Tamandua tetradactyla: one gene and its partner. The protein of the gene in region 2 interacts with the protein of the main gene of each other region in a pairwise test. Links are inferred from orthologs where the notes say so. Each region holds a gene or a part of one and is shown on either strand. Other genes may lie near its edges. The genes, in order: LRRC8E and TRIM2.

Region 1 (16,357 bases), on a different chromosome or scaffold from region 2:
CTGGGCTGCGGGGCCGGGGGTGTATCCTAGGCCGGGGGGGCGGAGCTCGAGGGGAGGGCCTAACCCAAAGAAGTGGGTGGGACCTGAGCCTAGGAGGGGGTGGAGCCTGGGCCGAAGACTGGGCATCTAGGAGGCTTGGGGCAATGGCACCCGAACAGGGCCCTAGGGAGAGGGCGGGGTCTAAGTCGAGGAGGCGTGGCCAGAAGGCGGGTCCTAAGGCAGGGATGGGACGTGGTGGGCAGGGCCCGAGCCTGGCTCAGTGGAAGGTCTCCACCTCCACCACGGTCCAATCGCCCTGCGGGGAGGCCACGTCGTCCGGAGAGAAACTGGTGACCGAGGTGATGCTGGCCCGGGACTCGTCCAGTGGCGAAAGCAGCTCGGCCCAGCGGCCCAGTTCGGCTTCGCTGAGCGCAGCCCGGGCGCCCCCCGAGACGCAGCCTCCATCCTCGGCCCCGGGACCGCCGCCGCCCGTGGCACCGTCGGCCGCCGCCAGCAGCAGCGTCCGGCTCAGCAGGTGCTGCACGACGCTCGCCTGCAGCGCCCCCAGCGGAAGCTCGCCCAGGCGCGCCGGCTTCGGGCCCCGCGGGCTGGCCCCAGCCACAGCCGCAGCCGCCGGCTTCCCAGGGCCCGCGCCAGGCCCAGGACCTGAATCCAGCGCGCCTGGGGCGGGAGGCGCCGACTCGGGCCCCTCCGCCTCGTAGATGGTACAGAGCCCGTCGGCGGAGCCGGGCCCGGCAGTGGGAGGCCACGGCAGGGGAGCTCCTGCAGAGAGGCGCCGCGCTAGGCCCAGGGAGGAGGGAGGCCTGCTCCCGCAGCCACCCCTGGGCCCGCCCCACCGCCACTCGGCCCCGCCCCCAAAGCGCAACTGCCCCGCCCTCTGATCCCCCGCACCCCGCCCAGCCTTGGCCCCGCCCGCCGCGGAGCGCCGCTCACCTGGGGCGCCGCGGCCGGCCAGCGGCTGAGCGGGGCCCCGGCTCCAGGCGGCCGGGTGGCAAGAGGCGAGGTCCGCGTCGGCGGGCGGGGAGGCCGCGGCACAGCCCTCGGGCCCGCTGTCGTAGCCGCGCAACTCCTCGGGCGTGCTTGTGGCGCTGCTGCTGTGGCCCGCCAGGTCCGGGCCGCTCAGTGTGCTGGAGGGGCTGCGCGAGGGCGGCGGGGGCGGGCCCGGGGCCAGCGCCAGGGTCAGCCGTGGGCCCGAGAGTGGGGCATCGGGACCTGGGGTCGGCGGGCGGCGTGGGGCCTGCAGAGGGGGTGAGGCAGGGGGAGAGGGCGGGGCCTGCAGGAGGGGTGAGGCAAGGGGAGAGGGAGGGCCCTGCAGGAGGGGTGAGGCAGGGGGAGAGGGAGGGCCCTGCAGGAGGGGTGAGGCAGGGGGAGAGGGAGGGCCCTGCAGGAGGGGTGAGGTAGGGGGAGAGGGCGGGGCCTGCAGGAGGGATGAGGCAGGGGGAGAGGGGGGACCCTGCAGGAGGGGTGAGGCAGGGGAAGAGGGCATGTTATGGAGAGGGGGTGAGGCAAAGGGAGAGGCCTGCAGAGGGGGGGAAGCAGGAGGGGAGGGCGGGGCCTGCAGAGAGTGTGCGGCAAGGGGAGAAAATGGGGTCTTCGCGGGGGGTGAGGCAAGAGAGGAAAGGCCCTGCAGAAGGGGCAAGGCAGGGAGAGAGGGCAGGGCCTGCTGAAGAGGCAAGACAGGGGGAAAGTAAGTGTCCTTCAGGAGAGGTGAGGCAGGGGGAGAGGGCGGGGCCTGCAGGAGGGGTGAGGCAGGGGGAAAGGAAGGGTCCTGCAGGAGGGGTGAAGCAGGGGGAGAGGGCGGGGCCTGCAGGAGGGGTGAGGCAGGGGGAGAGGGCGGGGCCTGCAGGAGGGGTGAGGCAGGGGGAAAGGAAGGGTCCTGCAGGAGGAGCAAGGTAGGGGGAGAGGGAAGGCCCTGCAGGAGAGGCGCGGCAGGGGGAGAGGGAGGGCCCTGCTGGAGGGGTGTGGCAGGGGGAGAAGGCGGGACCTGTAGGAGGAGTGAGGCAAGGGGAGAGGGAGGATCCTGCAGTAGGGGTGAGGCAGGGGGAGAGGGAGAGCCCAGCAGAAGGGGTGAGGCAGGAGAGGGCAGGGCCTGCAGGTGGGGTGAGGCAGGGGGTGAAGGAGAGCCCTGCAGAAAGGGTGAAGCAGGAGAGGGTGGGACCTGGAGAAGGGGAGGAACAAGGGGTGGGGCACGCAGAAGGGTAGAAGCAGGAGGAGAGGGCAAGGCAGGGAGAGAAAATGGGACCTTCAAATGGGGTGAGGCAGGAAAGGAAGAGCCCTGCAGAGGGGTCGAGGCAGAGAAAGAGGTCGGAGCCTGTAGAAGGGGTGAGGCAGGGGGAGAGGATGGGGTCTGTAGAAGGGGCAGGGCAGGAAAGGGAGGGGCCTGCAAAGGCGGGGAGGCCAGAGAAGGCGGAGTCTGAAGAAGGGGTGTGGTCAGGGGAGAGGGGGGACTCGATGGCCGCCGAGGCAGTGTGGTCAGAGGTGCGGAAGAGGCCAGCGGAGGGAATGTGGTCGTGGAAAACGTGGTCTCGAAGGCGGGCGGAGACAGAGTAGCTGCCTGACCGGAGGAAGTGACCAGATCAGAAAAAAGAGGGGGTGTGGCTAGGGGGACAGGTCGGTGAAGCAGAGACGTTGCAGGACAAGGAGAGGCCTGAGGGGGCGTGGCTGGTGGAGGAGGAGCCGGCGAAGAGGGTGTGGCCAAAGGAAAGGGAAGAGTGGGAAGAGGGGCCACAGTTAGGGGATGCTGGACAGGGGGCATACTCTTTGGAGGGGGTGGGGCTGATGGAGCGATTGGAGCGAGAATGTTGGGCGGGGCCGGGGGAGAGGTGGATGCCTCCGGAAAGGCTGTACCTTGACAGGAGGGTGCAGCTTGCAAAGGGGCCGTGGCGGGTGGAGAGGGGAGGGTTTGCAGAGAGAGTGTAGCAGCAGGGGTAGGGGCTAGTGGAAGAGGCGTGGCCAGTTGACAGGGAAGAGCCTGGCGAGGGGGCGTGGCCTGAAGGTGGAGTTTGGCTGACAGAGGGGGCGTGGCTTGTGGCGATGCAGGGGGCGTGGCCCGCAGTCGAGGGGCCGAGCTCTGGGGAGGCAGTGCCGTGGGACCCCGTGGAGAGGGTGTGGCTAAAGGAGAAGGAGAAGCAGCGGCCTTCCTAGGGGGTGTGGCCTGCGGAGGGCGCAGAGAAAGCAGCCCTTTGGTCTTGGGCTGGGAGGGATGTGTAGGAGCCCGGGCTGTCCCACGGGGCGAGGACTCGGAGCGGCCGGGGGAGGGCAGCGGGGTGGCGCTGAAGCCCACGGATCGCGAGGCTGGCCTCTGGAGAGCCCCGCCGGCGCTAGGTAGCCTCCTGGTGGCAGGGCCCGGCTCCGTGGTGCTGCTCACTGATCTCCTGGGGATCTCCGTCGCGGGCCGAGGCCGAGCACCCGGAGCTGGCCGGGGGAGCCCTGCCTCGGCGCCCGCAACCCGGTTACGACGGATGATAGTCGGGGAGGAAACTCCTGGGGCAAGCCCGGAAGAGTCTGGAGACAAAGCAGAGAGTCGCGGGGTCACTGTTACCCCCAGGCTGGTCCCCCTCGCTGCCCAGGAGCCCCGCTCCTCCTCGGGTCACGTACCTCTCCGTGCCGTTGCGATAGGGCCGGTTTTTCTGGGGGCCTCTGGGACTTTTCCTCTAGCCACAGGCTCCTCAGCCGAGGGCCGCAGCCCCTTTTGGCCAGGAGGCCCCGACCTGGGAATGGGGAGGGGGGGGTTTACTCAGGTCCCTAGCTCCTTGTTTGACCTCCCAATTTTCCATTTTCCCATCTGTGAAATGGGATATGTACCCTCCTTGCGGACCAATAATACTTTCATCCATCTTGTGCCCAGTGATCTCCAAGTGTCTTCCCATTCCAGTTCATATGTATAATTTAAAGATTCCAGATAGTGACCGAAACCCTCGCCCTGGGGACTGGGTTGGGGGGTGCGGGGGGCTTTACCTGGCGGTCCCACCGGCACGCGCAGGGCTAGAGATAGAGCTCGGGACGGGCGCCTTGGTAGGGGCCCGCTCCCCTCGCCCAGCTGCTGAGGGTCTGGAGGCTGCGGGGAGAAGGCCCAGTCAGTCGCCCCAGAAGGGCAGGGCAGGGATGGGGCTGGTGCCTCGGGAGGAGGGGGAGGCTGGAAGATGGGTCTGGACTGGGTTCGGGAAAGGAGGTCGGGGTACCTGGACTCCGGGGACCTGCCCCGGCACTCCGTGCTGGTCCCGCCCGGGAAACTGCCTCGGAGAGAGCGGCGCCCCCAGCTCGCTCCGCCAGAGACCTTCGCCCTGCCGCCGCGCCCAGGACTCGGAGGGTGGCGGTGGTTCCTGGGGGAGGGGGCCGCAGAGACCCTGGAGGCCTGGGAGCGGAGAGGCCGGGAGGGCGAGAAGCCGCTGTCCGCGCGGCGGGCCCTGCCTTGGTCTTGTCCCCCTTGTCCATCGCTGCACCTGATGAAGCGACGAACCCATCAGCATCAGGTCCTGGACCGCTAGGCTGCCTGCGGGGACTCTGCCTCGGGGGCCCGCACTGCTTGCCTGGCCACCCACGGGCACCCAGACCGCGGCCTCGGCCTAGATCCGCTCCCCGCCCACCCACAGCCCCGCTGCTTGGGTGTTGTCCCCAAGTCCCACCCCTACCGCCTTCCCCAAATGCCGGGCAAGCTGGTCCATCCCAGCCCACCCCCCACCCCGCCTCTGCTCCCTTTCAAGACCGAGAAGACCACCGGCCGCAGGAACAGGGGGCTGCCACGGGCTCCGGAAGAGGGGAGGGGGTCCGGAGACAGTCTCGGCGCCCTTCCCGTGTCTCCCCGAGGGACCTCGGCACCTGCCCCGAGCAGGAGCAGCCCCGGCTGCCCGCGAACGGGCTCCGGGAGACAAAGAGCGGCGTCCCGGGCCCGGCCCCCACCCCCCACCCCCCCACGGGCCCTCCACCTGCTGCCGCCGCGCTCGCCTCCTGCGCTGGCCTCCCGCCGCTCGCACGCAGGGTAGCCTGGGGTGGGGCCCGGCCGGAGCGCCGCGGTGGCCGCGAGGGCCGGGGAGAAGAGGGGAGGGGGCGGCGGCGGTGGGGCAGCCGGGTGGGGCCCAGCCTACTGGCCGCGGGCTGGAGAGTCGGGGGAGCGCGCGCGCTCGATGGAGACCCGGGCAGGCGGCAAGCGGGAGCGCGCCGCCGGGGCGGAGGGGGAGAGGCGCGCGGCGGAGGGGAGGGGCGGCGGTTCTGGGGTCTGGGGGACCCGAGTTCGCGCGACCGCCGGACAAGCTCAGAGACCCGGTGGGAGGAGCTTCGGGAAAACCCGGTGGGGTCTCTCATCTACCCTCCTACCGTACCCCACGACACGCATCACCTGCCCCGGCCCCCCTCCCCCCAGCCACCTGGCGACCAAGGCCCTCCCGGACGCGGATAGGCCGGGCCCTGGCAACCGGGAGGTGGGTCCATCGCGCCTCGGGCGCAACCGGCCAATCCAGACGCTCGGCGTCGCCGGTCCGTGCACGACCACGAGGGCTGGGTCCCCTAGGATCCTGGGGGGGCTTCCGTCCCTCTCAAACCTGAAGGCTGTTCCCGGACCCTAGGCAAATCCCCAGCGTGGTGCTGGTGGGGAGCTGCTGGCAGACAAGCAGCTCTGTGAATTTAAAGATGTGTGGCAGACCCAGATTTGGGGGAAGAAAAGAAAGAAAGGTGGAGAGGGAGGGAGAGAGATGAGAAAGTACTGCGAGAGGTGACTCCAGGTCCCTGTAGGGTAGGGCTCCTCCAGCCTCCTCACCCTCCCAGTTCACAGGAAGGGGCTGAGGTCCTCAACAAAGGCTTCCTGGTGAGCCAGGCTTGAGGGGTGGAGTGGCGACAGAATTTGGGGGGTGGGGAGTGGGAGGGGCAAAAACAGGCGCATGAAGGAAGGGGCAGAGAAGATTCTGTGCAAGGGCCGCAGCCCTGCTGGAGGATGTGGGAAGTGTCATTCTGGTGATCTCACCAACTAATGCAAGGGCGCGTTCATAGGGGCCATTAGCAAGGAGGGGGCAGGAGCATGAGCAGGGGAGAAGGTTATTTTCATTGCCTGCATGGGCCTCTTGAAACACCCCCACTTGGAGCCCCATCCTTCCAGACTCACAAACACCTCCTGCCCCATCCAGAAAAGCAGCTCTCTCTGCCCACAGCCCTGTGCCTATCACACAAACACACTTGAGCAGTCCATCCCTTCCTAGAACTTAAGTTGCTTCCCTGCATGGAGAGTCAAGGGTGGGAATTGGCATTTACATGAGCCAGGGGATTGGCAGGTTTAACCCGGGTATGCCTGGAGGCAGAGTTTGGGGGCCTCCTCGCTTCAGGAGTTGTGCCCACAGTTGAGGTTCTGTGGATGGAAGAGAGAGAAAGGTGGGGGCATCAGAACCGAATGCCCTGCTTTGGCTGGTGGAAGAAAACCCACTCCTTCAACATCCTCTCCCTTCGATCTTGTAGAAGGGTCCCTTCTGAGCTGCCAGGGCATTGCCCTCTGGAATGGATCCTTCTAGGCCTCCCCACCTCCCTATGACTACGGAAGGGGCCTGTGTGAGCCCCTTCTCCCATGACAGCAGCCTGAGTCACCTTACAGCCTGCCCACACACCTGCCGGCTGTGACTTACTGAGTCCGCACAGATGCCTACTTGTGCCTTCTGACTATGGGCTATACCATATCTAAACTTCACTAAGTGGGATCTGGACCCTACCCTCTTATAAAAACACTCTCCAAACCATCGATTAGCAGGAGAATGGGTAACACAACCCCAAATAGGCCTGACAATGGAATAATACATAGCAATAAAAAGAAACAAGCTTGGGGTGAGGGGAAGCATAAGAACTCTGTACATTCTGCATAATTTTCCTATAAACCAACAACTGGTCTAAAAAAGGAACAAGCTAAAATATGGTATCAAAAACATTAGGCGGAATAAAAGAAACCAGCCACAAATAAAGGCATGCACTGTATGATTCCATTTATTTAACATTATAGAAAAGGCAAGCTAATTTTTTTGTGACAGAAAGCACATCAGTGGTTGCTGGGGGGAGTGGGGGTTGGAGAGGGAGGGGAATAACTGACCCATCCCGTTTAGCCACTCTCAGATTCCTGACCCTTGGAATCTGTGTGAGGCAATAAACACCTGTTGTCTTCAGCTATTTCTTTTGTTGGTAGTTTGTTAGGCAGCAATAATACTGATCAAACATGGGGTTCGCTGCCTGATGCACATAATAGCCAGCGTGTGACACGGAGTGTGATGGTGAGGTTCTGGTGTCAACTTGGCCAGGTAATGGTCCCCGGTTGTCTGGTCGGGAAAGCACTGGCCTAACCATAACTGAAAGGATATTTCATGGCAAGTTGATTATCCAGAAGACTGGTCTATTGAGCCATCAGTCAGCTGATTGCATCTGTGGCTGATGACATCTAGGATCAACTAAAGGAATGTCTCCTGTAAATGAGATCATCCTATCAGCTGGTTTTGATCGGATCAGTTGACTTTTAAAGGAGAGGAGAGAATTTTCTTTTTCAGCCAGTGAGCCTCTCCTGTGGAGTTCATAACGACCCTTCATCAGAGTTGCCAGCTTCACAGCCTGCCCTACAGATTTTGGACTCTTGCAATCCCACAGTTGTGTGGGACACTCTTATAAATCTTATATTTACAGGTCTCTCCTGTTGGTTCTGTTTCTCTAGCAAACCCTGACTAATACAACAGAGTGAACTAGGGAGAAAGAGTTTATTGCTGCATGAAGCAAGAACAGTTGTAGCCTAGGGGCCTAAAATCTGTCTCCCTGAGTTTAGGATTTTTATGGATTCAAGGAAGGGGCCATGGAGTTGTTACCATTATAATAAGTATAAATGACTATGATATTCAAATATAAAGGGCAGACTTAAGCTAGAACTAAGCCAGAATAACCATTACCATAACAAATATAAACACTATAGCTATCAGTTAGTTCTGGGTGGACTCAAGTTTCTACACTAACATTAGGGTGATCATAAGATGCTAAAGTTGTGAGAAAGGGTAAGGAGGTACCAGCAGGGCCACTCAAGAGGCTTTTACAATTCGTAATTCAGTGGGTTTCAGTAATTGCAGATATTTCCTTTTGGCTATTCTACGATACACTAGAAAGTAAGATAAGGGCATCTATATAATGATTCAGTCATCCTGATCATTTGTTCAATTTTAATTTCTCAGTACAGCAATGGATAATTACCTCAGATTCACAAAATCTTAAGGATATTATCAATGTTGAAAACTCCACACTCTGCCAGTGGGAGTGAAACTGATGCAGCCTTTCCGGGAAACGAGTGGAAAGCTCTGAAACTGCATGTCTTATGACCTAGCCATTCCACTCCTGTGTCCGTTCCTGGGGGCAGGTTAAAGAGCCCCCTCTGTATCCCCTCAGCAAGGCTGGAAATGCTAGGGAGTTAACTTCCTCTGTCTCCCAGCCCCACCCCAGAGCAGCCCTTAGCCAATGACAGACAGGAGCTGGTGGATAACTATTTCAACTCCCTCGCTCCTTGAGTGGGACAACTTGGAGGCAGACTGTATACCATCCCCCAGAGACCCCCAGCAGAACTGAGTCCCGGTAGGCCATGGTGGTAACGCGTTCATTCATCTTCCTGTCAGTAGCCATTAGTGGCTTCCTTCTCTGGCTGTCTCACTTCCTCCTTGCTTCCTGGGATCACCTGCTAGAGAAACTATTTGCATCCAATTCCCTTGTCAGGGTCTGCTGGTGGAGGAGCCCATGCTAAAGAAAACAACACCTCCATCATTCACGCATCGCATCCATCATTTACTAAGTGGCTGCTGGCTGTTCTGCACTGTTCCAAGTGCTTGGGGATACAGCAGGGAACAGAAGAGACATGTGCCTGGCCCACATGGGGTTTAGGTTCTAGTGATCCCAGAGATTCTTGCACAACGTGAATTTCAGCATATGATTGGAAACAAACACCCAGGGCATGGATCCCAAGGAGAGAAGCTTCTCAGGAGACAGGAAGAGGTGAAAGGGGAGATGACACAATCTCAAATGTCCCTTCCTCTGTCATTGCTACCGTCTCACTCTGCCTTATTGTATGCATGGCACTTTTCATAAACCACTATTATCTTGCACATTCAGTGTCCGCCTCTCCCCATCCCACTAGGACAGAAGCTCTGTAAGAGTGGGAGAGGGGTACGGCTTATCTATAGGTGGCCCACCATGGAAGCTTCCGGGCCTGGGCACACAATAGGTTCTGATTAGAGATGCTGGACAGACCTGAGCCCAGTCTCTCCAGGGCTTGTCTTTGGGCTGCTGGGTTGGGGATCAAGCCCAAAGGGCCTCTTCCAGGGCTGGGTTTCACCCATCATCTACCTGAAGCAACAGAGGAACTAAGCTTAGGGGATCCCAATCCTCAGGGCTTGGGTTTCAGGCTGTCTCAGAGCTGGTGAAAAGCTTTGGCTTCTTTTCCCCCATGGAAGAAGGGTCTTGCTACCCCCGTCCTAGTCCCTGTTCCCCTTCCACTGACGAGAAAGGTTCTTCAGACTGAGAGCAGATCAACAGTCAACTGCAGATGCCCCCCAGGCGTAAGTGGGAGGTTTGCACAGCTATGAGCTAGGCCAGGTCTCCCCAGGTGGGAGGAGAGGTTGGGGGTGGTAGAGAGGCAGAGCCTTCCTGGGGAGAAGCTGGGCCTCTCAGATCCAGATTCCACCCCCAGCTCCCAGATTCTTCTTGTTCCTGCACCCCGTCAGGACCTGGGAGCAGCTTGGTGCAGACCCCTTTGGGGTTAGGCACAGCACTGGGCGTGGACAGACAAATGAGCACCCTGCCTCCTACCTGCTTCCCCTAGCTCAGCCCAGCTTCCCCAGGCCAGAGGGGGAAGGAAGAAGCCCTCAGCCCACCCCCACGCCAGGAAGGAGCAACTGCTCAAGTGTTCCCTGGTTAGGCCCTGCCCTGGGTCTTTGAGGACTGGTGGCCAAGCACTGCTGGTGAAGAAGAGGCCCTCCCATGCTGTCCTGCTAGTGTCTCCACAGCACAGCCCCAAGAGGGGCAGCCATGGGACGATTTTGGAGCCCAGGGCCTCCAGCTCCCTCAGTGTCCCCCTCCCTAGGGGCCAGCAAGACTGCAATGGAGCCCAGAGCTCCTCTGGCTCAGCCCCTGGCCCAACTTGGGCAGAGCAGGAAGAAGAGTGTAGGGAGCTCCCTCCTCCCCTGACCTTGCAGCTCCAGGGGTGGGAGTTGACCTGGGAGAGCCTGGGGGAGGCGGGCCGCTAAGGGCAGGGCGGGGCTGGCCAGCTCCCTGGCTCCAGTCCTTGCCTGCCCGCCCTGACTCACCCTTGCTGCCCGGGAACTCTGCTGGAGTCCCAGCCACTCTACTCTGCTCCTAGGACCCAGGAGTTGGGCCCAGCGTCCGTCAGAGAGGTGAGTAATTACTCCCAGCTACTGGTAATGGGGTGGCAGGGTGGGGGTCAGACTGGGAGCCTGGATCCTGCAGAGGGTAGGAACGACCCCAGGTACAGCTGACACAAGAAGGGAGGGGGCAGAGGCTCAGCCCCAAAGGTGCCTGTCCAGTGAAGCTCAACTAGGTAGAGTCAACCTCAGGGGGTCTCAACCACATGCCCCTTTCCTTGGCTGCTGGGAAAACAATAACAACTCATATTTGTGAGTCCCTCAGAGCCCTAAAACCCTACCACTTGGGGTCTGCATCAGCCTGCTGTCTGGTGCTCTTGAACCTCAAAACTCCCCAAGCCTGGGCAGGGGCAACTTGGGAAAGTACCAGGCTGGAAGTCCACAGGCCTGGGGTCTGATTAAGTGGTGATTCTTCCCCATCCTGGACCTCAGTTTCCTCTTGTGTAATAAGAACTCAGACCCTGTGCTCTCCCAGCACCCTGTCAGTGCTGATGGCAGTCTGCTGTTTCTTCCTTGCCCCTTAGGATGGACTGTCCGGGGTGGAGGAGCTGGGGCTGGGCCAGAAGCACCTGTTCCCCCCCCCACCAGCAAGAGCTTGCTCCCCACTCCCCAGGTCTTTGGAGGCAATCTGGGGCCTTGAGGCCCTGAGAAGGGGTAAGCATGGTTGGGTGGAGCAGAGGCTGGGTGGAAGCCAGGTATCCACTTTTAGGCTGGCAAGATTCTCCCCCACCCACCCCCACTCAAAACCTGGCAATTTTCTCCATCTCTTCTCTGCCTGATTGACCAGTGCTTTGGGGTTCTGTTTCCAAAGATGCTGCATCCACAGAACAAGAGTGGAGACAGATCAGATAGGGGTAGGACGGATAGACCGCTAAGGCCACTTGCCAGTTGCACAACCTTTTCTTCCCTGAATGTGGAATACGAGGCTCCCAGCACCCACGCCTCACAGAGCTGGAGAAACAGAAGCATTTGAGGCATCTGGTGTTTGGACATTGCACGGCGGTCTTTACTGTTCTTTTCCTCTGGGACTCCATTCAGCGAGCCTTTCTCCCCAGCCCACCACCCCCGCCCTGCTCAGACAAGGGGGGCAGCCATGTCTGCAGAGACTTAATGACAGGTTCGGAAGTATCAAGCTTGAGTCACAGAGACAGATAATGATAACCCCCGTATCTGCTTCTGATTCTGTGTATATCTACAGCACGTTCTCAGTGCCTGTGCTGTGCGCTGGGCCCCTCGGTATTTCCACTTTCTTGCCTGTAATTGAGGGCAGTAGAGCTCATGAGATTGTAAGATGGGTCCTGAGGGGTGGCAGGGACTGGGGCGGGAGGTCAGGTCCCCGCCTGTGTGTGGCATTTTTTGCCACAGACCCCCAAGTACTATTCTTAGGTGAAGCCACTGAGCAGGTCCTGACGTGGCCCCCAGTGGGGGAGCAGGGAGAAGAGCTGGTGGTCAGAACTGAATGCAGGTGATAAGGCCACCGATTCTGGCTCTCCCCTCCGCTCAGTGTGTGTGTGTGTCCCTTCTGGTGGCTGTGTCTGGAGTTGGTACCTGCCCTGGGTGTGTTTCCGTCAGGTCCCCTAGAGACTGAGACTGACCGAGAGGCATGTGTGCATTTTTCCCGGGCTTTTGCAGAGGCCCAGGAGTATAACGGGAGCACAAGGGACGGCCTGGGCAAGCAGCAGCAATGTGCTCTGGGCCACCTCCCTTGTGTGTGTGTGTGTGTGTGTTCCACGTGAGTCAAGGCCTGAGTCAGGAGACCCGTGAGGCTGGGCACAATGGAGAGCCCATGTATGGGCAGGTGGGTGCCTGCTCCCTTGCGTGCAAATGCCCCGAACTGAGGAGGGAGCCTCAGAAGGAAAGGATTAAGGGGTGTGGTGGCCTGCCCAGCCCTGAGCCTCGTGGGCAGGGTCTAAATCCTGTTTCACCTCTAACCCCACCCCCAGGCCCCATCATCAGCCAAGAGACATTCCAAGGCCTTCAAGGAACATGGGGGCAGAAAAAGAGTGGAAGTGTCAGAGTGAAAGGCTGAGATGGGGCTGGGGAGTGGGGGCAAGTTTGCCCCAGACCCTTCCCTAGGAGATGGGGGGAGGCTAGAGAGAAGCAGCTGGCGGCCCAGATGTCCTCCTTCCTCCCTGGAGATGCACTGTCAGGTTGAGGACACCTGCATGAGAGGACAGGGGAAGCAGATTGGCAAGGATGGAAGGATGAACACTGGGGAGGTGGGGCTGGCCTAGGAACCCCTTCAGAGGAGGTAGAGGGCCTCCTTACTGCCTCCCTTTTCTTTCCCCTCCAGCCTTGGGGAGGAGAGGAGGATCCCAGCTATCACAGAGGGTGATATCCCAGCTTGTGGCTGACATCCCAGGAGTGACTTGTGCCTGGCTGTGTCGCAATAATGATACCTTGGTCTGAGAGGAAATCTAGGGACAGGCAGAGTGGGCCCACCAGGTTAGAGGATCACCTCGACAGCTAAAATGAACTGATGCTCCGCCCTCTGCCACCTCAGAGCCCAGGTATCTGTTTCCTACCTCAGATTCTGGGCTCAAACCCAAGTGTCCTGCCCCCTCATCCTCCTCAGGGCTGACAAGCCCTCTGTTTGGCCACGCCCTGTCCCTGGGGCTCTGGTAACCATAGCCAGCTCCAGCCGGCTTTTCCGGTTGGAGGTGGTGCCCCGAGTGTCCCTGAAGGAATAGGAGGGGGTACCGGGTCTGGTCCCAAGCCCATATCCGGAAGTCCTGAGCCTCGCAGGTTCTCAGGTCCTGAGGTGGTGAGAGCCGGGACTGACAGCCAGGACAAAAGTCAAAGGCGACCAGAGGGAGGGCTTTGGGCCTTGGTGTCATGGGTGGGAGGGCGATGCCGGGGTTCCAGAACGTGGGGGACAGTGGCCCTGTGGACTTGCCCCTCCCGAGTGCTGGGCAGTCAGTTGGGGCAGGGGTGCCGGGGAGCCAAAGAATGGTAGCCGCTCAGCTCTGGGAGGGAGGTGGAGTCTGAGGGTCAGGAAAGCTCGTGGGCAGCTTGTGAGCTGATTTTGGCAGGAAAGAGAACAAATTGGGAGCAGAGGCCCATGTCCTCTGGTTCCCCCAGATGCCCCTTCCTGACAGCATGGATACCCCCACCCCCCTCCTCTCCCTTAGGCAGGATGATCCCGGTGGCCGAGTTCAAGCACTTTACCGAGCAGCAGCCCGCGTTCAAGGTGCTCAAACCTTGGTGGGATGTGCTGGCTGAGTACCTCACCATGGCCATGCTCATGATCGGGGTCTTCGGCTGCACTCTCCAGGTAAGGGGCCTGGCCAGGGGAGGGGTAGGACTGGAGGTGAAGGGGGGGGAGGCCAGAAGCCGCCTTGTAACTGAATGAAGAGGAGGGAGTGGGCATAGCCCAGTCACACTCAAAAGACCAAACTGGATACCTTTCCATCCTTGCTATCAGCGGCAGTGGCACTCTGGTACATCTCTGGAATCTAGAAAGTGCTGCCATCGCCTACTCCTTTTTCTCATACAAACACCAATGCTCAGAGGTCTAGCAAACTCTTCCAGGATAGCAGGAAGTCAGGATGGGGGCCTCCTGCCTTCAACCGACTTCTCTCAACCCCACTGCCCTGGCCTCCAGCCTTCTCACCTGGTACTGCCCTCTTTCCCAACCCCAGGTGACACAGGATAAGATTATCTGTCTGCCCAGTCACAAACCCCGGGAGAACTCATCAGAGGTGTCGTGCCAACAGCTGCTGCCGCGGGGGGTCTCTGAGCAGATAGAGGGCCTCCGGGAGGCAAGTGGCCTCAAGAACAATCTGGACCTGCAGCAGTACAGCTTCATCAACCAGCTGTGCTACGAGACGGCCCTTCATTGGTATGCTAAGTACTTCCCCTACCTCGTAGTCATCCACACCCTCATCTTCATGGTCTGCACCAGCTTCTGGTTCAAGTTCCCAGGCACCAGCTCCAAGATCGAGCACTTCATCTCTATCCTGAGCAAGTGCTTTGACTCGCCATGGACGACGCGGGCCTTGTCCGAGGTCTCCGGGGAGAACCACAAGGGCCCTGCTGCTGGACGGGCAACGCCGGCTGTGGCTGTGGCTGTGACAGCAGGGGCCGGACCAGGGAAGGCAAGTGAGGGCGAGAAGGCGGTGCTAGTGGAGCCTGAGAAGGTGGTGACTGAGCCGCCAGCTGTCACCCTACTGGACAAGAAAGAGGGTGAACAAGCCAAAGCCCTGTTTGAGAAGGTCAAGAAGTTCCGTGTGCACGTGGAAGAGGGTGACATACTGTACTCCATGTATATCCGGCAGATAGTGCTCAAAGTGTGCAAGTTTGTTGCCATCCTGGTCTACAACGTCATTTACGTAGAGAAGATCAGCTTCTTGGTGGTGTGCAGGGTGGAGACCTCAGAGGTCACGGGCTATGCCAGTTTCTGCTGCAACCACACAAAGGCCCACCTCTTCTCCAAGCTGGCCTTCTGCTACATCTCCTTCGTCTGCGTCTATGGGATCACCTGCCTCTATACGCTCTACTGGCTCTTCCACCGGCCCCTCAAAGAGTACTCCTTCCGTTCCGTGAGGGAGGAGACGGGCATGGGTGACATCCCTGACGTCAAGAACGACTTCGCCTTCATGCTACACCTCATAGACCAGTACGACTCACTCTACTCAAAGCGCTTCGCCGTCTTCCTCTCCGAGGTCAGTGAGAGCCGCCTGAAGCAACTCAACTTGAACCACGAGTGGACACCTGAGAAGCTGCGGCAGAAGCTGCAGCGCAATGCCTGTGGCCGGCTGGAGTTGGCCCTCTGCATGCTCCCCGGGCTGCCCGACACTGTCTTTGAGCTCAGCGAGTTGGAAGCGCTCCGGCTGGAGGCCATCTCTGACATCACCTTTCCCCCGAGCCTCTCGCAGCTGGTGCACCTGCAGGAGCTCAACCTGCTGCACTCACCTGCCAGGCTGCCCTTCTCCTCGCAGGTCTTCCTGCGGGACAGGCTGAAGGTGATCCGCATCAAGTGCGAGGAACTGAGGGAGGTGCCCCTCTGGGTGTTTGGGTTGCGTGGCCTGGAGGAGCTACACCTTGAGGGGCTCTTCCCCCCAGAGCTAGCTCGGGCGGCGACCCTTGAGAGCCTCCGGGAGCTGAAGCAGCTCAAGGTTTTGTCTCTGCGGAGTAATGCTGGGAAAGTGCCCGCCAGCGTGACCGACGTGGCTGGGCACCTGCAGCGACTCAGCCTGCACAACGACGGGTCACGTCTGCTCGCCCTCAACAGCCTCAAGAAGCTGGTGGCGTTGCGAGAACTGGAGTTAGTGGCCTGCGGGCTGGAGCGCATCCCCCATGCCATCTTCAGCCTCGGGGCACTGCAGGAACTCGACCTCAGGGACAACCACCTGCAGTCCATTGAGGAGATCCTCAGTTTCCAGCACTGTCGCAAGCTGGTCACGCTCAGGCTGTGGCACAACCAGATTGCCTACATCCCTGAGCACGTGCGCAAGCTCAGGGGCCTCGAGCAGCTCTATCTCAGCCATAACAAGCTCGAGACCTTGCCCACCCAGCTTGGCCTGTGCTTTAGCCTCCGCCTGCTGGACGTCTCCCACAATGGGCTACACTCCTTGCCACCCGAGGTGGGCCTCCTCCAGAACCTGCAGCACCTGGCTCTTTCCTACAATGCCCTTGAGGCCCTGCCCGATGAGCTCTACTTCTGCCGCAAGCTTCGCACCCTGCTCCTGGGTTACAACCACCTGAGCCAGCTTTCGCCCCAGGTTGGGGCCCTTAGGGCCCTCAGCCGTCTGGAGCTCAAGGGCAATAGATTGGAGGCACTGCCAGAAGAACTTGGCAACTGTGGGGGGCTCAAGAAAACGGGGCTTCTAGTGGAGGACACTCTTTATGAGGGCCTGCCGGCAGAGGTGCGAGAGAAGATGGAGGAGGAATGAGGCCAGGGTGGTGCACACCGAGGTAGCAGGAGGCCGTTGGATGCTTCTGCCCCAGAATCTCCACCACTGACTTCAAGGAAGGTGTGGGTTCAGGCC
Region 2 (16,358 bases):
TTGAGACACCATGTGACTTCAAAGAGAGAAAGAGTTTATTGCCATGCATAAAGCAGAAGATCAGATGGCTTATCCGCTCAACAATCTGTCTCCCTAAGGAGTCTAAGGAGTTCAGGGGTTTTATGAATTCAAAAGAGGGGAGATGGAGTTGGTATCATTATAATAGTAAGTATACCCAGGAGGAGGCCAGGCTTGAATAACCATTACAATATAAATATAAACAAGGGTGAGACTAGTTGAGTTTCAGTAATTTCAGGTATTAACCTCTGTCTATTCTACAATATAGAAAGAAAAATATCTATAAAATGATTCAGTAGTCCATAATCATTTAACTCTTAGTTTCTCAGTTACAAATGTTCAAACCTGGAATGAGAGGAGGATGGGGTGTCAGGTGGAGGGTGTGTGGTTGACATGGGAGTCAAGGTCTATGTATAGAAAGTAGCTGATTCCGGGGCCTTTGAACATTCTGGGGGCTAAATAAGGAAGTATCCAAAATATCTGGTAGCATTTCAGAAGAGGTTCACTTCTATTAATTTCATCATTGACTAATAAGGTAATTATTTTGCCTTCCATAAGCAAAACCCAGTGCATGAGGTAAGTGGAAAAAGCCCTGGGCATATACTGGATGATAAAGGAAAGCCAGCTGCCCCAAATCTGAAAGAGAAAATTCACATACCAAGTGAAGAGATTACTACACCCTGAAATAGTCTTTTGCATTGCTAAGGAAACTGTATTGTCAATCCTGAATTACCTCCCTGCCCCCTTAAAAAAGTGGGGTGTGTGCATGTGTTGGATCAGACCTGACCCTTACTTTCCTTTCTTTGGGGTATCTTGCAAATCCCTACGCTTTTCCGTCCCCATCCTCAGCTTCTAGGTCACTATTTTAATTCCCAAAGAATCATAAATAAATAGTCAAGGACATACAGGCAAACCAATAAGATGCAAATGTTGTTCAAATCAGCTAATGTCTTTTTTATTCCAAGGCAAAGGCCCAGAAACTTCACACTATTGGGCAGTTTTATAACACAGCTTTAACACGACTGTTGAACCTGGAATCCTAATTTAAATAAACTGCCTGTGGTCAGCAAAAAACACTTCTTTGTTTAGTCTGAGAGGCTATGTTCATGACTGAAGACAACCTGATCTCATCCTCTTAATGCAAAACTCAAGGGTGTCTGTAATTTACCCTCTAGGAATGCTCCCATTATGGATCACCGTGATGGCACCTACTGCCTGGTCGATGGAGAAGGAACAGTACAGAAACAGGAACACCCACAGGACAGGAGTGCTGCTGGTAAGGAGCCAATGTCACTTTTGCCAGGTTGTGCTGAAAGAGCCAAGCTGCCAGGGGAAGCAAATCTCAGGTGAAGGGGCCATCTCATTTTCCTCTGGAGGTGTCTGCAGCCGAACCACTAACGAATGCCCCAGCACCACCCTAGACCTGGTTTCCCAATTGAGGAAACTCTTTTGAGGAAATTGGTGTGCAAAATATGCTCACTAATGGCTAATGCCACCACCAAGACTGGAAAATTCCTCCTGGTTTATGTTCTGTCTATTACATTATTGCAATTTGGAGATCATAAAACAGGACGCCCCAAACATGCTTGCTTAGTTAATATCTTCTAACTGGGGCGTGGGCTTGGAAAATATCTTTACCTCCTTCTTCCTGACTGGGTGGTGTAACCGAGAAGTTATGATTTCAGGGACGATTATGGTTGCTGAATCATTACATAGATATCCCTTCTTGCTTTCTGGTATATTGGAGTAGACAGAGGGAAATACCCGAAACCTCCGAACTTTAATTCAGCTGCCCTAATATCTGGAATGATTGTAAAAGCCCTTATCTTGCCCTTCACATTTGTAAATTGTATGCCCCAGACTCTGCCATTGAAATGATAACTCAGCCTTTCCTCCTTCCAGCTTACATTTTTAAATGATAACTGTCTCCCTTTCTACTTACACTTACTTGAAACTGTAATGACTTCATCTCCCCTTGTTAGAATCAATAAATATCCTAAACCCACTAAATTCTGGGAGACAGATTTTTGGGCTGACAGGCCATCTGATCTCCTGCAGTAATAAACTCTTTCTCTTTGAAACCCTGGTGTTTCAGGAATTGGTCACTTAAGTGCATGGGCAAAAGAATCCACTGCCTTTGTCTGGTAACAGTAGAACGATCCAAATCAAAACTGGGTTTTCCTTATGGCTGACAAGCTCTTTATCCAGGGCATGGACAAATGAGTAAAAAAATATGGACAAAAAATATAATAATGGGGGGCAGGGATAAGGAGTAAAAAAAAAATGAGTGGAGCACCATATTAGTAGTCAGAGGGAGGGAGAAGATGTACGGGATGTATGGGTTTGGTTTTTTTTTCACTTTTTAAAAAAATTGTGAAATATAACATATACACAAAAAAAAGGAATAAATTTCCAAGTGCATTTTAACAAGTAGTTATACAGCAGATTTTAAAGTTTGGTATAAGTTACAGTTTCATGATTTTTCGTTTTTTTCTTCTAGCTGCTCCAAGACACTGGATACTGTTCTAGTTTGCTAGCTGCTGGAATGCAATGTACCAGAAATGGAATGGCTTTTAAAAAGGGCAAGTTAATGAGTTGCTAGTCTACAGTTATAAGGCCGAGAAAATGTCCCAATTAAAACAAGTCTATAGAAATGTTCAATCAAAGGCATCCGGGGAAAGATACCTTGGTTCAAGAAGGCCGATGAAGTTCAGGGTTTCTCTCTCAAGTGAGAAGGCACATGGCGAACACAGTCAGGGCTTCTCTCTCAACTGGAAGGGCACCTGGAGAATGCAGTGTCATCTGCTAGCTTTCTCTCCTGGCTTCCAGTTTCACGAAGCTCCCAGGAGGCATTTTCCTTCTTCATCTCCAAAGGTCGCTGGCTGGTGGACTTTCTGCTTCATGGTGCTGCAGCATTCTGAATCTCTCTGAATCTCTCATTCTCCAAAATATTTCCTCTTTTATAGGACTTCAGAAACTAATCAAGACCCACCCAAATGGGTGGAGACATGTCGTCCCTTAATCCGGTTTAACAACCACTCTTGACTAAATCACATCATCGAGAGAGATGATCCAATCACAGTTTCAAACATACAACATGGAACAGGGATTATCCTACCTTTACGAAATGAGACGTATATTAAAACATGGCTTTTCTTAGGGGGCATACTTCCTTTCAAACCAGCACAGATACCATTAAAAATATCAATATAACGATTCAGCAATCATACTCATTTGTTAAATCCTATCTTCTGTTATACTCCTCCTTCTCTTTAACCTCTGTCTATTCTACAATATAGGAAGAAAAATATCTATAAAACGATTTGGGTTAATTTCTTTTTTTTTCTTTAATTAATATAAATAAATAAATAACATATATATACATAAAAGTAATAAATTTCAAAGTACATTGCAATAATTAGTTGTAGAACAGATTTCAGAGTTTGGTACGGGTTAAAGTTCCACAATTTTAGGTTTTTATTTCTAGCTGCTCTAAGGTACTGGAGGCTAAAAGAAATATCAGTGTAATAATTCAGCACTCATATTCACTTGTTAAACCCAACCGTCTTTGTATAAACTCCACCATCACCTTTGATCTTTCTCCCACTCTTTAGGGGTGTCTGGGCTATGCCCCTTCTAACTTTCTCATGTTGGAAAAGGCTGTTGATACTATGGGACAGGAGGATGGAACTAGTTAATTTTCTGTAAGGGTTGGCCCGTCTGCATTTCAGGACCCGTCTGGAGGCTCTAGGTTATGGAAAGTTACCCTAAGCATGGAACCTTTGTAGAATCTTACATATTGCCCTAGGTGTTCTTTAGGATTGGCAGGAATGGTTCTGGTTGGGGCTTGGCAAGTTATGATAGGTAGCAGTGTCTAACTGAAGCATGCGTAAGAGTGACCTCCACCGTAGCTTCCTGACTCTATTTAAACTCTCTCAGCCACTGACAATTCATTAGTTATACTTTTCTCCCTATTTGTAAGGACATCCTTTCTTTTTATTTCTTTTTCTGGAGTGATACAAATGTTCTAAAAATTATCATAGTGATGAATACACAACAATGTGATGATACTGTGAGCCATGGATTGTATACTATGGATGGACTGTACGGTAAATGAAGATATCTCAATAAAGTATTTTAAAAAATAAATAAAGATAATCAGATGGAATGGAAAAAAACACTGCATTTAATTTTTCACATTTTCAGTCTTCCATCAGAGCTCTCCTTTTGAGTGTCCTTATTCTGAGAGTCTCCATTTTGTTTACTTTCTGGTCTCTAAAATCATCATCCTCCTGCCTAAAGGGCAGTAATCAGAGTCCTCAAATGCTAGTCTGGATCCTAACAGGGGATAGCAGGGTGGCAAGACCATGTTTCTCTTGATATTTTGTTTTAAATCAATGGTTACATTTGTACTAAATAAAGACATCTGGTAGGTATTCTGAAATGTGAAAAACACCTACCTTAAGGACATGGTAACTGAAAAGGATAATCGCTTTTCAGAGCTCTGACAGCCTTGAGCATATTTCTATAAACTGCTCTGGTTCCAGACACCAGCATGATTTACAGGTTGACTCATTTTAATGCAGTCAAGGCTGAAGCAAAACCTGTAACCACAGCTTCTATTTGAGCATTTCTGAGCTGTCATAAGCTAGTGAAGATGCTGACAGAGAGAATGTTTTTGTTTGACTGAAGGACACATTCTAATCTTCTGAGCCGAACCTTTTGCATAAACGAGTTTCATCCAGATATATAATATGCTACGAAAAGGGAGAAGGTATTGAAAATTCTAGGGAGAACCTATTTCTTCAAGTAGTAAGATGATATTCAAAGGCAAGATGTGCAAAACAATTATTTTACATAGGAAGGAACCAGTGCTAGTAAGAAAAAACATTTGTCAACAAAAGCTCAGTTTTTCGGTTGAACTCCATTAAGATCTCAAAAAATACACAAAACTGAGTAGTTAGTAAATAGGCCTTTTACAATACCAGTGTTTACTGCCCTAAATTTCCCCTTTACCTGCTTATCTCAAAAACCTACCATTCTCTTCTGGAGAAAATAATAAACTCACAGATAACTTACAAGGACTTTTTATGCCAATTAGCAGGTCAGTCAGTTTCAAGGTCTAATATATGAGTAAAATAAAATACTATTGGTGGCAGAGTATGAGAACACCTCAGACTTTGCCCTCAACCCTTTTAAGATAATGGTTTCAGATAGGCCACCCCAACATCCATCCTGGAAAATATTTCTGATGAATCCCTAAAGGAAAAGCACCATTGTTCATGAAACCCAAAAGAAAAGCCCATAATTATATTCATCACTAGCAGCAACATCAAAGCACCTCACCAGCTCCTACCAGCACAAACTTTTAGTGCCTATGCAAACAGAGAAAAATTCTTGTCTTCTGGGAATCTATAATTCAAGATGGATTTGGCGTAAACCAAGCAATTGTCATTTTTAGTTGGGGAAGGAGAAAGTTCTGACAATGTTATCGCCCCAGGATTTCAGGATGCCATCTTCAAAGGTTACCAATCTGGTAATTGGGCTATCTCCAATAAATTTGTACCGGCAATGCTCAGAGAGATGGTAAGTTACCGCTGTTTGTAAAAGGGCCAAATAAAGAGATCACTCAAGTCTCTTTCTAGAGTAGTCAAAGGACAGAAATTCAAAGGTCAGATTTCAACACTGAGGCAGACCAAAAAGTTCAGAGTGGAAGATGTTCCTTCTCAGAAAATCTCCCTAACCCGTTTATATTTAGTGTCTTATAAGGAGTTCCTTCCACTTGCACTTTGAAATAATGAGCTGACTGCCATCTTGCAGGAAGCCATGCATGTCAGCATTAAAATGATGATGCAAGAAAAATAATACAAGATGTAGATACACTTTTACTTTTGACAGATACACTGGAATTTCCAATGGGGGATTTAACAGAAGTAGACTTTACCAGGAAAATACAAACAGGAGTTAGAATAATGTTATCAGAGAATACTGATAAGGGAAACTATCACCTAAATGAGTCCTGACATTTATTATGAGAGGTAATAATCTCCTGGATTCCATGATCCTAAATAGAACCATGGTATATTCCTAAATAGGATGGTACAGAAAAGGTTAGAAGGAAAAAGGAGGCTACTGGGAAAAGTGTGCAAATATGAGGGTGAGTGAAGAGAACCGATGTTAGCTCTTTTCTAACCTGTTCAGAACAGGACTGAATTATCTCACCATGAAGACATTTCATTAATGTGGGTGGCCCCAACTGATTCTACCAATCCATACTTGCCCTAAGGGAGGAACATGGTGGAATTTTGTTTTGTTTTGTTTTAACTGATCCATAATTGTTATATGGATCCAGGTTTGAAAGGGAAGAAGAAAATGTGCGTCATAAAGCACTCAATCAAATCCCTCATGTCTCTGGTTAAAATGGTGCTCTTTTGTTTCTCTGAGCTGAAAGGCAGGTACTAATAGTTGGCCAAGGATGAAATCAAGTTGAAATCTGAGACTAGAGGTCAACAGAGCCCCAAGGTAATGAACTGAGTACAATACCTACTCCCTCTACTTGCCTTAAAGGAACAGAGAAGTACAAGTTGTCATGCAACAAGACTTTAACTATATTCTAAAAATAATGATGCAAAAGTTGATGTAAAAAATGGGGGGGGGGGCTAAAAACTTCTGAAAAAAAGCATAGCAGGATATACTTCCAGAGGAACAACCCCCACCACCCCCTTTCTAGGGGCTAACCCAACTCTTCTGGATGTTTGAACTCTTAGTGGTTTAAAATTACCTGTTTTTAAAGTGCTTGAATCTAAAGCTGCTTCAGTTCTGAAAATTAAGGCTGGTGATGTACAGAGTAGGGGTGGGGCGAGGAAACAGGAACCAGTTGTTCTACGGGGTTGGATTACAGGTGGGAAAGAATTCGGGGCTCAGAGAATGCTTTGGATCTAACAGGCAATTAATCCGACAAACGCCTCTCCCGATCCTCAACCTTTTAACCCGTTTATAAGCAGCATCGGGTCTGTACTTGACGAATGCCCGTGACTAAATCCATTAAAGAGTCGCCCAACCTTCAAAAACCAACATCTTCCTCCTCTTACAAGCCAGGACTGCAGTATGAGCTCGGGCACAGGCTAAGAGTGGAAGTTAATAGGAAGGAAATCTGTTTGTGTAGTTTCAGAAAAATAACCGGGGGTTCGGAGGAGAGGAAACCCACCCTTTCAAAATTATTAAAGCTATTGCTCTAAGACCTTCAGGGGATCTTTTTCGTTTTTCTCGGTGCACAATGACTTTAAAAGCCATTTGGAAGGGGCCTGGCCCGGGAGCAATGCAGCGGCTGCAGGCAACGCGCTGCAGCTGCCCGGCTCACCCCAGCACTGACTCGCAGCTGGCTTCTACCCACCGCAGCGAGGATCCGGAAATGGAATTTTTTTTACCGGCTTCCTACACACCTCAGTGTGCCTGGACTCTGACCCGAGGGAAAGCGTCCAGGCAGCCCGGGTCGGGCCCACTGTCCGTAGCCCAGCACGCACAGCCGGACGCCGCGGCGCCAAGCGACCACTTACTGCGAAGCGCAGAAACCCACGCGCACTCGGGAGGGTGCCTCCGCCGACTCCGCCTCGGGCTTCGCCGCGCCCCGGCCACCACCCACGGCCGAGTTTTGCTCGCTCACACCATCAGGCGGCGGGCGGGCGACCCAGGCTTCGGCGCCGGCTCCTCTCCGCCTCCTTCTTCCTCCCCCGCAGCCGCGATGGTGCGGCCGGACGGCTGCACGAAGGTGAGACTACTGTATCGCCAAACGCTTACTGAGAGAGCCGTAGGCTGATAATCCTGGGGCAGCAGTGACATCAAGTAGTAAAAATAGGCAAGAGGAGGAAAATCTGCCTCCTGGCTGGGTTTCAGGGACCTTAACTCGGAGATCTCCGTTTCCAATGGCTCTCTGGTTGGTCATTTCCATTCTGTGCTCAGTCCCAGACGGGGAGGCAGCTGTTTTCCATAAGCCTCGAGGCGGAGGCAAATCCTGGATTAAGCACTGCCCGGCTCTCGCAGCATTCCCAAACCCCGCACGCCAGCTAATCCCCGCACAAAGAGCAGAAAAACAAACAGATGAGTTTGTGGCCAGTTCCAGAAACATTTCCCTAGAGCGATGATTAAGGGTTCTTCTGGCCGGCTTCCCGGGATGGGCCAATCGCAGCCCGGGGGTCAGAAAAAAAAGGGTTGGCTCGTTTTTTTTCAAGTATACTAAAAACGTGTCCTCTCCAAGTCCTGTAAACACAAATGCAAACACTGCCCCTTCGGGGGAAGGACTGATTTCAGTTTGGACCGAAAGAGAAAAGGGCCAGCCTCCATTATGGGACTCTTCATTGTTAGAGTCCCAACTCCCTGAATGTGAGAGAGGAGAATAATTTAAGGTTTACTTTAAGTATATTCTGATAAACGAGTCAAATATGACACAATCGGCCCTGAAAATGAGGAGAAATTACCTCCTCTGGGTCTTACTTTTTACTCTGTAAAATAGGTAAGGATAGGAAGTTTTTCTCCCTCCTTATTTTCCTTTTTCATTTTTTGAGTGCCCCCTATGTGCCAGGCACTAGGCTACAAATATAAAGTTGGAAAAAGCATCAAGTCCCCATACACAAACACACACACACACACACACACACACACAGAGACACACACTGTGCCGCCCTCCCCCCCGCAGGTACCTTACACTCTCATAGGGAAAAAGACAAGAAAACTAACAACTTCAGTACATTGTGAAATTGCTATGATAGATATTTATGTCCACAGGATTACAGGAACACAGAAGCAGGTTTTAGATCATACTAGGGAATCAAGGAAGGTTTCCCAGAGGAGATTGAATGTGAGGTTTGAAGACTGAGCAGACATCAGGTAAAATAAAGAGAGAAACAGAAGGAAAGTCTGAACTCCTGTATGGCTGCAGAAAGCAAGATGAGAGATGAGGTTCTTGTCTGCTAAACCAAGGAATGTAACCTTTGTCTGAAGGCCTTGGGTATCCTCTGGAAGATCTAAATCAGTGAGATGACCTGATTGTATTTGCATTTTAGAAAGATTACAGTGGAAGCCATGTGAGAGGAAGCCCACCTAGGAAAGGTGTGGTCGGGGGTCAGGATGAAAGAAAAAGAGTCCAAAGGTAGGAGAGGTAGGATGTTGAGGACATGATGCCTGGTAACAGAGAGGGGAGGGAAATTGAAGGTTATTACCCATGTTTCTGACATGGACAACAGGGTGGATGAAGTGCCATTCATCAGCAAAGAAAAATGAAGGACAAAGAACAAGTATGATCAGGAGAAATGATGAGTTTTAAACAAGGTAAATGTGTGGTATCTGTGGGTTATCTAAATGTAGGTGCGCCCGCAGCAAAACAGCCACTTGGGTCTGTAACTCAGCACACCATTAGGGGCTAGCAATACAGATTAGACAGTTGTCCACTTATTTCTGCATCCAGGGGTGCAGAAAAATTCACAGAATGTAAACTGAGTTATAAGAGCAGGACTGAAGATGGAGTTATGAAAAAATACTGGCTTTGACTGGGCAAAGATTGCAGCCTGGAATGAAAACTGAGGGGAAAACTATTCAAAAGGGGGAAGTGAGGTAATCCACAAACAGAGAGAGTCATTCAAGAAAGGAGTGGTCAACATTGCCAAATGCTTAAGACAGTCAAGCAAGGTACAACCAGAAATTGCCCATTGCCTTTGGCAGTATGGCTGTCATCAGACCAAATGGTAAGACTAGTAGATGAAGATCAAAGGGCCCTTTAGCTCCAACATTCTACGGCTTTAAAGCCGTCTACCTAGGACATTTGCTATGTTTGAGTACTGCCACCCATGCCAGAATCTGTTTTCCCAGCTTGAAAATGTAACCTACACACTGGCAGTTGGATGGACAAACCTCAAAGTGTGAAAGCAATGTGAGAAAGCAGATTGCAGGGAAGCTGTTTTCTATTTCTACATAGCATACTATTTTCAAGGTTCATTCATGTGGTAACTTATATCAATACTTCGTTCTTTTTTGTGGCTGAATAATATTCCGTGATGTGTATATACCACATTTTGTTTATCCATTCATCAGATAATGGACAATTTGGGTTGTTTCCACTTTGGGCTATTATGAATAATGCCATGATGGACGTTGATGCAGAGGTTTTTAAGTCGACATATATTTCTACTTCTCGTGGGGATAGATCTAGGAGTGGGATTGCTGGGTCATATGGTAACTCTCTTTAACATTTTGAGAAACTCATCAACTGTTTGCCACAGTGGCTGCGCCATTTTACATTTCCACCCAACAGTGTATGAGAGGTCCAATTTCTGCACATTCTTAACAACATTTGTTATTGTGTATCTTTTTAATTTTAGCATTCTAGTGGTTGTGAAATAGTATCTCATTGTGATTTTGATTTGCATTTCTCTAGTGAATAATGATGTTGAGCATCTTTTTATGTGCTCATTGGACATTTGCATGTCTTCTTGGAGAAATGTCTATTAAAACCCTTTGCCTATTTTTAAAATTGGGTTAGTTGTCCTTTTATTGTTGAGCTGTGTTCTACTTTGCAAGCTGCTAGAACGCAATATACCAAAAACAGAATGGCTCTTAAAAAGGGGACTTAATTAAGTTGCAAGCTTACAGTTCTAAGGCCGTGAAAATGTCCAAATTAAGGCAAGGCTATGAAAATGTCCAAATTAAGACACCAACAAGAGGTTACCTTCACTCAAGAAAGGGCGATGAAGTTCAGGGTCTGTCTCTCAGCTGGAAGGGCACACTGAGAAGTCTGCTAGCTTTTTCTTCTGGCTTCCCATTTCATGAAGCTCCCCCGGGGGTGTTTTCCTTCTTCATCTGCAAAGGTCTCTGGCTTCATGGCTCTAAAGCTTTTTTCCAAAATGGGTCCCTCTTAAAGCGCTCTAGTAAGCAACTCCACCTTGAATAGGTGGAGACACATCTCCATGGAACCCACCTAATCAGAAGTTACCACCCACAATTGGGTGGGTCACATCTCCATGGATAATCAAAAATCTCCCACCCAGCAATATTGAATGAGAATTAAAGGACATGGCTTTTCTGGAGTACACAGCAGATTCAAATCGGCACAAGCTGTATTAATTCTTTATATATTTTGGATACTAGTCCCTTACTGGGTATGAGTTGAAAATATTTCCTCTCATTCTGCGGGTTGTTTTTTTTTTTCACTTTCTTAGATATTCCAATATTCTTTAATAAATCCCTTTTTAATGCTTAAGCTAGAATAGTTTCTGCTGTCGGTAGCTAAGGACCTTGAGAGAGGCACCAGGTTGGGTTAAATACCATCCTTTTATATTTTCTTCTACAACAGTCCCTCTCACATCACATCTTCTATCTGATATTGCCTTAGACCCTTGGTGTTTGTTTTTTTATGCCTAGTCTATCTGAATTCCACCTCCATCTTCCATTTCCTGGGCACTATGGTATAAATGGCCACTACTAACTCCAATGAGCCATGACTACCTCAGCAGCCATCCCATCTATTTCTTACCACCATCCAGTCCAGTCCTAGCCCAGAACCCAGGTAGGTATGTGCAACCCCACCCCTCTCAAGGCTCCTGCCACTCCCTGCCACCTTTCCTCTGTGATACTGCTAGAGCTACATGGGATCTTATGCATGAGGTCAGTATCCTATTTAATTTTTGGATCCCCCTCAGCACCCAGGACAAGACATTGCAAAAACTTGGAGCAATAAATGTACATTAAAGCGAATTTCATGCTTCATTCCTTAATTTTACTTTTTATTCTAAAACTGTATTTATGCAGGCCTTGCTTTTCTAAACTTTTTTCTACATGGTCACATTTAGAGGATTAGGGCCTGAGATTGGGTTTCAGGGCAAATCTGTGGTGTTCAGTTTATTACTGAAAGAGTGGAATGCTTTGGGGGAATTCATGTTTAGTTATTTGTGAAATAGTTAAAGAAAATAAGGCTGCAATGATAAAGCTCTGAGCATCCAGAGAGGAATTAAAGAGTATTAATGGGGCATCATGAGTCTAAAGTGAATGCGTTTCTTGGTTGATTTTTCTGGTGGATTGGGCTTCATGCCTGCCACTGCCCAGTGATTTGGGTCTGCTTATTCTCTGTAGGCTGCTTCTTATCCCACCTATTTATTTCTGTACTCCTACAATAATTGGTAATTCTTCAGAGTAGGGAGTAATTATAGGGCACCTGTCAGCAATAGCTAGAAAGAGCCTGTATTGATAGTCATCCGTTCAACCAGTGTTTACTGAGCACACACTCTCTGCAAGCCACCACCTGGGGAACAAAGAGGAACAGATTCATTTCCTACCATAAGGTGCTGAAAGCCTAATAGCGAGGCCAAGACAAACATGGTTAACTCCATAACCGAAGTCTTTAAAAAAAACTCACTTGAGGACCCAGAGGAAGGAGGAATTACCCACTTTTCCAAGTATTGCAAAAGGTTTCATGGAGAAGATGGGGAAGAATAGCTGGCTTTTGCTTGGAAACCTCTTAACCATAATCCCTGTTCTCTAGAGTTCCCAAACTACTTGGAAATAAAGTCATATATGATAAGATTCACTTGAAAAAGTGAGTGATCCTTCCTATTAGGGTAATCAAGAAAGATTTTGTGAAGAGATGGACTGACTTGGGCCCTAATGATGGATTTATTATGTTATATGTTCTTAAATAAAAAGCAATGAAATTCTCTGGAAAAGTCAGAAAACCTAGAAAAGTATACGTAATAAATGGAATCATCTATATACCTACTACTAGAGATAAATACAGTGCCAGACATAAAATAGGCTTAAATATCTGCTGTAAGAATGAATGAACAAAACTTGCCATTTATTGTCTCTTTCTGTATTTTTCTAATGCATATTTTTACTGTATATATAATTTTAGAGTCTGCTTTTTTAAAAAACATGTCATATAATATGCATTTTAATGTCAGTAAAATTATTTGAAAATGCATTTTTAAACAGTCGAAGAATATGTCATTCATTGCAATCAATTTCCATAGTGTTCACATTTAGATTGTTTATAAATTTCCAATTATTCTAAATAAATGTTCAGTGAAATTGCTAAACACGAATGCTTGTCCACATTTCTATATTCTTAAGACAGATGACTTTAAGTGGAATCATCAAGTCATGGTGCATTAACATTTCTAGGGCTCTCAGGACAGCAAAGCATTACACAATTGCTTTCTAGGAAGTTTGTACTAATTTATACTCCCATTGGCTGGGTGGACTGGTGGTTCAATGACAGAATGTTTTCCTTCCAGGTGGGAGACCTGGTTTTGATTCCCCAACCATGCACCAAAAAAAAAAGGAAAATAAATATTTCCCCATTCTCAATGCATGAGATGGAGATACACACCTTTAACAATGTGAACGTTTAAAAATATTTGCTAATTTAATAGTGGAAAAGCATATACTGAAGTTTCTGAAATTCATATTTATGTGATCACTAGTGAAATGAACTTTTTAATATGATCATTAATCATTAGTATTTCCTTTAAGTAAAGTTACTTGTTCCTATTTTTTCTCCATTTTTCTTTGGGGAACTTGGAGAGAATCTGCCATTCTCTTGTGGCTGTCGTTGTGTGAGCACCCCACCATGATGATTGTGAGCCTATTTTTTAAAAATACATCCTCATCCATTCAGGATTCTTCCCTCCCCTCCTCTTCTCTACAATATGGCCCCTGACCACAAGCCAGCTACTTTACCTGGTGCTCAGTCAAAGGAACCATGAGCTATTGCAACATTGGAGGCAAAAACTAGTAGTAGAATTATTGAACAAGGCTATGTCCAGAATGTCATGGGTCATTTATGGACTGTGACCCTCGTTGTAGGTACTCATTTTAGAACCTAACCTTCTTCTATGCCATAAGTTTAAACACCAAAGCATTTTCCTGCCGACTCCCTGGGTTTCAGCAAAATGTTACTTTCTTGTCTTGGTGGTGTCTGTGCCTGCTGAGCCTAGTCTGGCCTTTTCTTCATCTTTCCCAGTCCAAATCCTGCCCATCCCTGATAACAAAGTTCAAATGGCAGCTCTGAGACGAGGATAACCTCCTCCTCGGCACCCCTTATCCTTTGTATCTCACTTAGGGCACTGCCCTCCTCCTGAGTGTTCTGATTATTTGTGTATACAACTCATAACTTTCATCATACTGTGAACTCCTTGAGAAGTCTACTTAAGTAGGCTCTATGTCTTCTTCATGTCTGGATTCTCATAACACAGCAGAAACCCAAAAATGCTTTACAAATGAAATAATGTCATTTAACAGAAACACGGCAAGAAAAAAAAAGTGCTACTTTGAAAGGGAAGACAAAGCTTCATTTTAGATGTATTGATTGTGGTAATGGTAAGATGTCAGACAGAAATGGAAGAAAGTCAGTCTAAACAAAGGAATAGAAACTCAACTCACAGAATCACATCTTGGGCCCTTTATAGGGTTGAAGGTAAAGAAAGAATTGGGAAGCAGGCTGCCTTTTGTGTCCTCTTATGAGGCACAAGTTGCCCCTATTATTCTTCAGCCACTGAAGCCCACTGTGGGAGAGGAATGAAAACTGGTAAAAATTACAACTGAAGTCCAGGGACTAAGAAACTGAAAGGGGATAAGCAATTAAATTTTTAAAAATAAAGTCCACTGAGGGAAATAAGCACTAAAATAATATTTTAAAACAATTTGGAAGTTGGCAAGGAAATGGCTACTGGCTTCCATTAGAGTAAGAGCATGCTCTCTTATAATATTTTCCTAAAATGATGATGTATTGATCTTCTCAGGTTGACCCATTAGCCATGAAAAGATGTTGCTGAGTCTCTAAGGATACTTAATCAGCAGAGGCATCAGGCCATGCCACAGATCCACACACTCGTTCAAAACCAAATGTAAAGGAGGAACAGTTAGAAAGCCAAGACCAAAGGAGAACAGCTCTCTCTGGGGTCTTGATTGTTGCTCTTAAGTCGTTGCCAACAATCTCACTCATCATAAATCTGCTTATTTTTAATACACGTTATGCTTTTGAAGTTTCAAATCAGAACCTTACTCAGACAAAACACAAAACCAATAAAAACAGGCGGAGGACTTTTTTGAACTTGTGTTTCTTAGGTTTATTCTTATTGTCTGTTCAAGTCTCGCGTTAAAGATGAAAAAGAAAAGAACCATGGAAGTGTTTCTTTTGAAGTGTCCTTTTATCCAACATGTGGAGAAAATATGACAATTGCATCATGTTCTTATTCTTTCTAATAGATGCCAGTGTAGTCTGTCCCTAACTTCCAAAAGGCTGTATTTGAAATGTTGTTTTTTTTAAAATATACAATTTTAATACGTGTAGCTTACAAGCACAGAAGTGCACAAAACCAAAGGGAAGAGCTCAATGAATTATCACAAATGGTTCACATAAGGGCCAACACTATCCAAAATAAGAACTAGAACACCACCACTCCCCCAGATGCCCCCTCCCAAATGTAACTTTGTAGTTAGACATATTTTTTCATGGAAATATTACTAATGGTGGTAAGTATCCAGATCAGACCACAAATTCAAAAATAGACTCAGACTCTAGCAAAGTGACACTATACCAACTTCAGTTTTTCTGTGGGGAAATTTTCAGTTCCAAATAGCGATGCCAGGGAGCAGCTCCAGACATGTCATCCCCAAACCTCAGGGGCTTCTACGACTCTCAGGGCTCTGGGTGAGTGGGGTGGGCACAGAGGGGAGGAGAAGCAATGCCAGGATCCCGGTAATCAGTTCACAGTCTACAATGTATTAGGATCTGAGCAAGAAAACATGGTGCTTTGGCCAAAGACACTCCAAGTGTCCTGATTTAGGAAAAAGATGCTGGACAAGAGAAGTGGTCCATGTTTATATCGGAGTAATCTGAAAGTTGTATGTACTGTATAATAGAAATTCAAGAAAATTTAAGAGACGTACATTTAGGTACCCAGTGTGGGTGAAGAATACTAAGGCTAGCAGTTTTTACTGTTGTTACATAATTCATCTTTGTAAACTTTTCGGCAGGATCTGATTCCAACTAAAGGCAAGCATTCTCAATTTAACAACTATCCATTGAAAAAGAAGTTTATAAATATTCAGTTGTGTTTTCTAGTGAGTACCAAATTCCCAGAAAGTATAACCTAGAATGCATGTCAAAACGCAAATTTAAAGACTCCAATCCAGATCTACTGAACTAGACTTTCCCTTAGGGAAGCCCATTATATTTCACAACACCTGACATGCTTCTTATCTTCAGGAAAATATGGGCAACAATGGCTTGGTCTAAGGAAGATGAAAAAGTAATGTGTTCAGTTAAAAGTGCTATAGAAGTCATAATTGTTGTT

What was found.
Region 1: the proteins of TRIM2 (region 2) and LRRC8E interact in binary tests that used the Homo sapiens proteins (3 or more experiments, as listed by UniProt). The two-hybrid records come from large-scale screens. The link is inferred for Tamandua tetradactyla from reciprocal best matches to the Homo sapiens genes TRIM2 and LRRC8E.

What each region holds. Positions count from the first base shown.
Region 1 is NC_135337.1:84,291,424-84,307,780, forward strand, and holds the start of LRRC8E (volume-regulated anion channel subunit LRRC8E), read left to right. Parts: upstream 1-10,300; 5' UTR 10,301-10,379; intron 10,380-10,891; exon of another isoform or gene 10,892-11,021; intron 11,022-12,660; 5' UTR 12,661-12,846; coding exon 12,847-12,877; intron 12,878-12,925; exon of another isoform or gene 12,926-13,131; intron 13,132-13,498; coding exon 13,499-13,641; intron 13,642-14,008; coding exon 14,009-16,261; 3' UTR 16,262-16,357. Other genes in the region: PRR36 (proline-rich protein 36), read right to left, coding at 257-762, 934-3,504, 3,598-3,710, 3,958-4,057, 4,182-4,434. UniProt on the Homo sapiens protein: Non-essential component of the volume-regulated anion channel (VRAC, also named VSOAC channel), an anion channel required to maintain a constant cell volume in response to extracellular or intracellular osmotic changes.
Region 2 is NC_135348.1:13,956,646-13,973,003, forward strand, and holds the start of TRIM2 (tripartite motif-containing protein 2), read right to left. Parts: upstream 8,399-16,358; 5' UTR 7,858-8,398; coding exon 7,816-7,857; exon of another isoform or gene 7,575-7,815; intron 1-7,574. UniProt on the Homo sapiens protein: UBE2D1-dependent E3 ubiquitin-protein ligase that mediates the ubiquitination of NEFL and of phosphorylated BCL2L11. Plays a neuroprotective function. May play a role in neuronal rapid ischemic tolerance.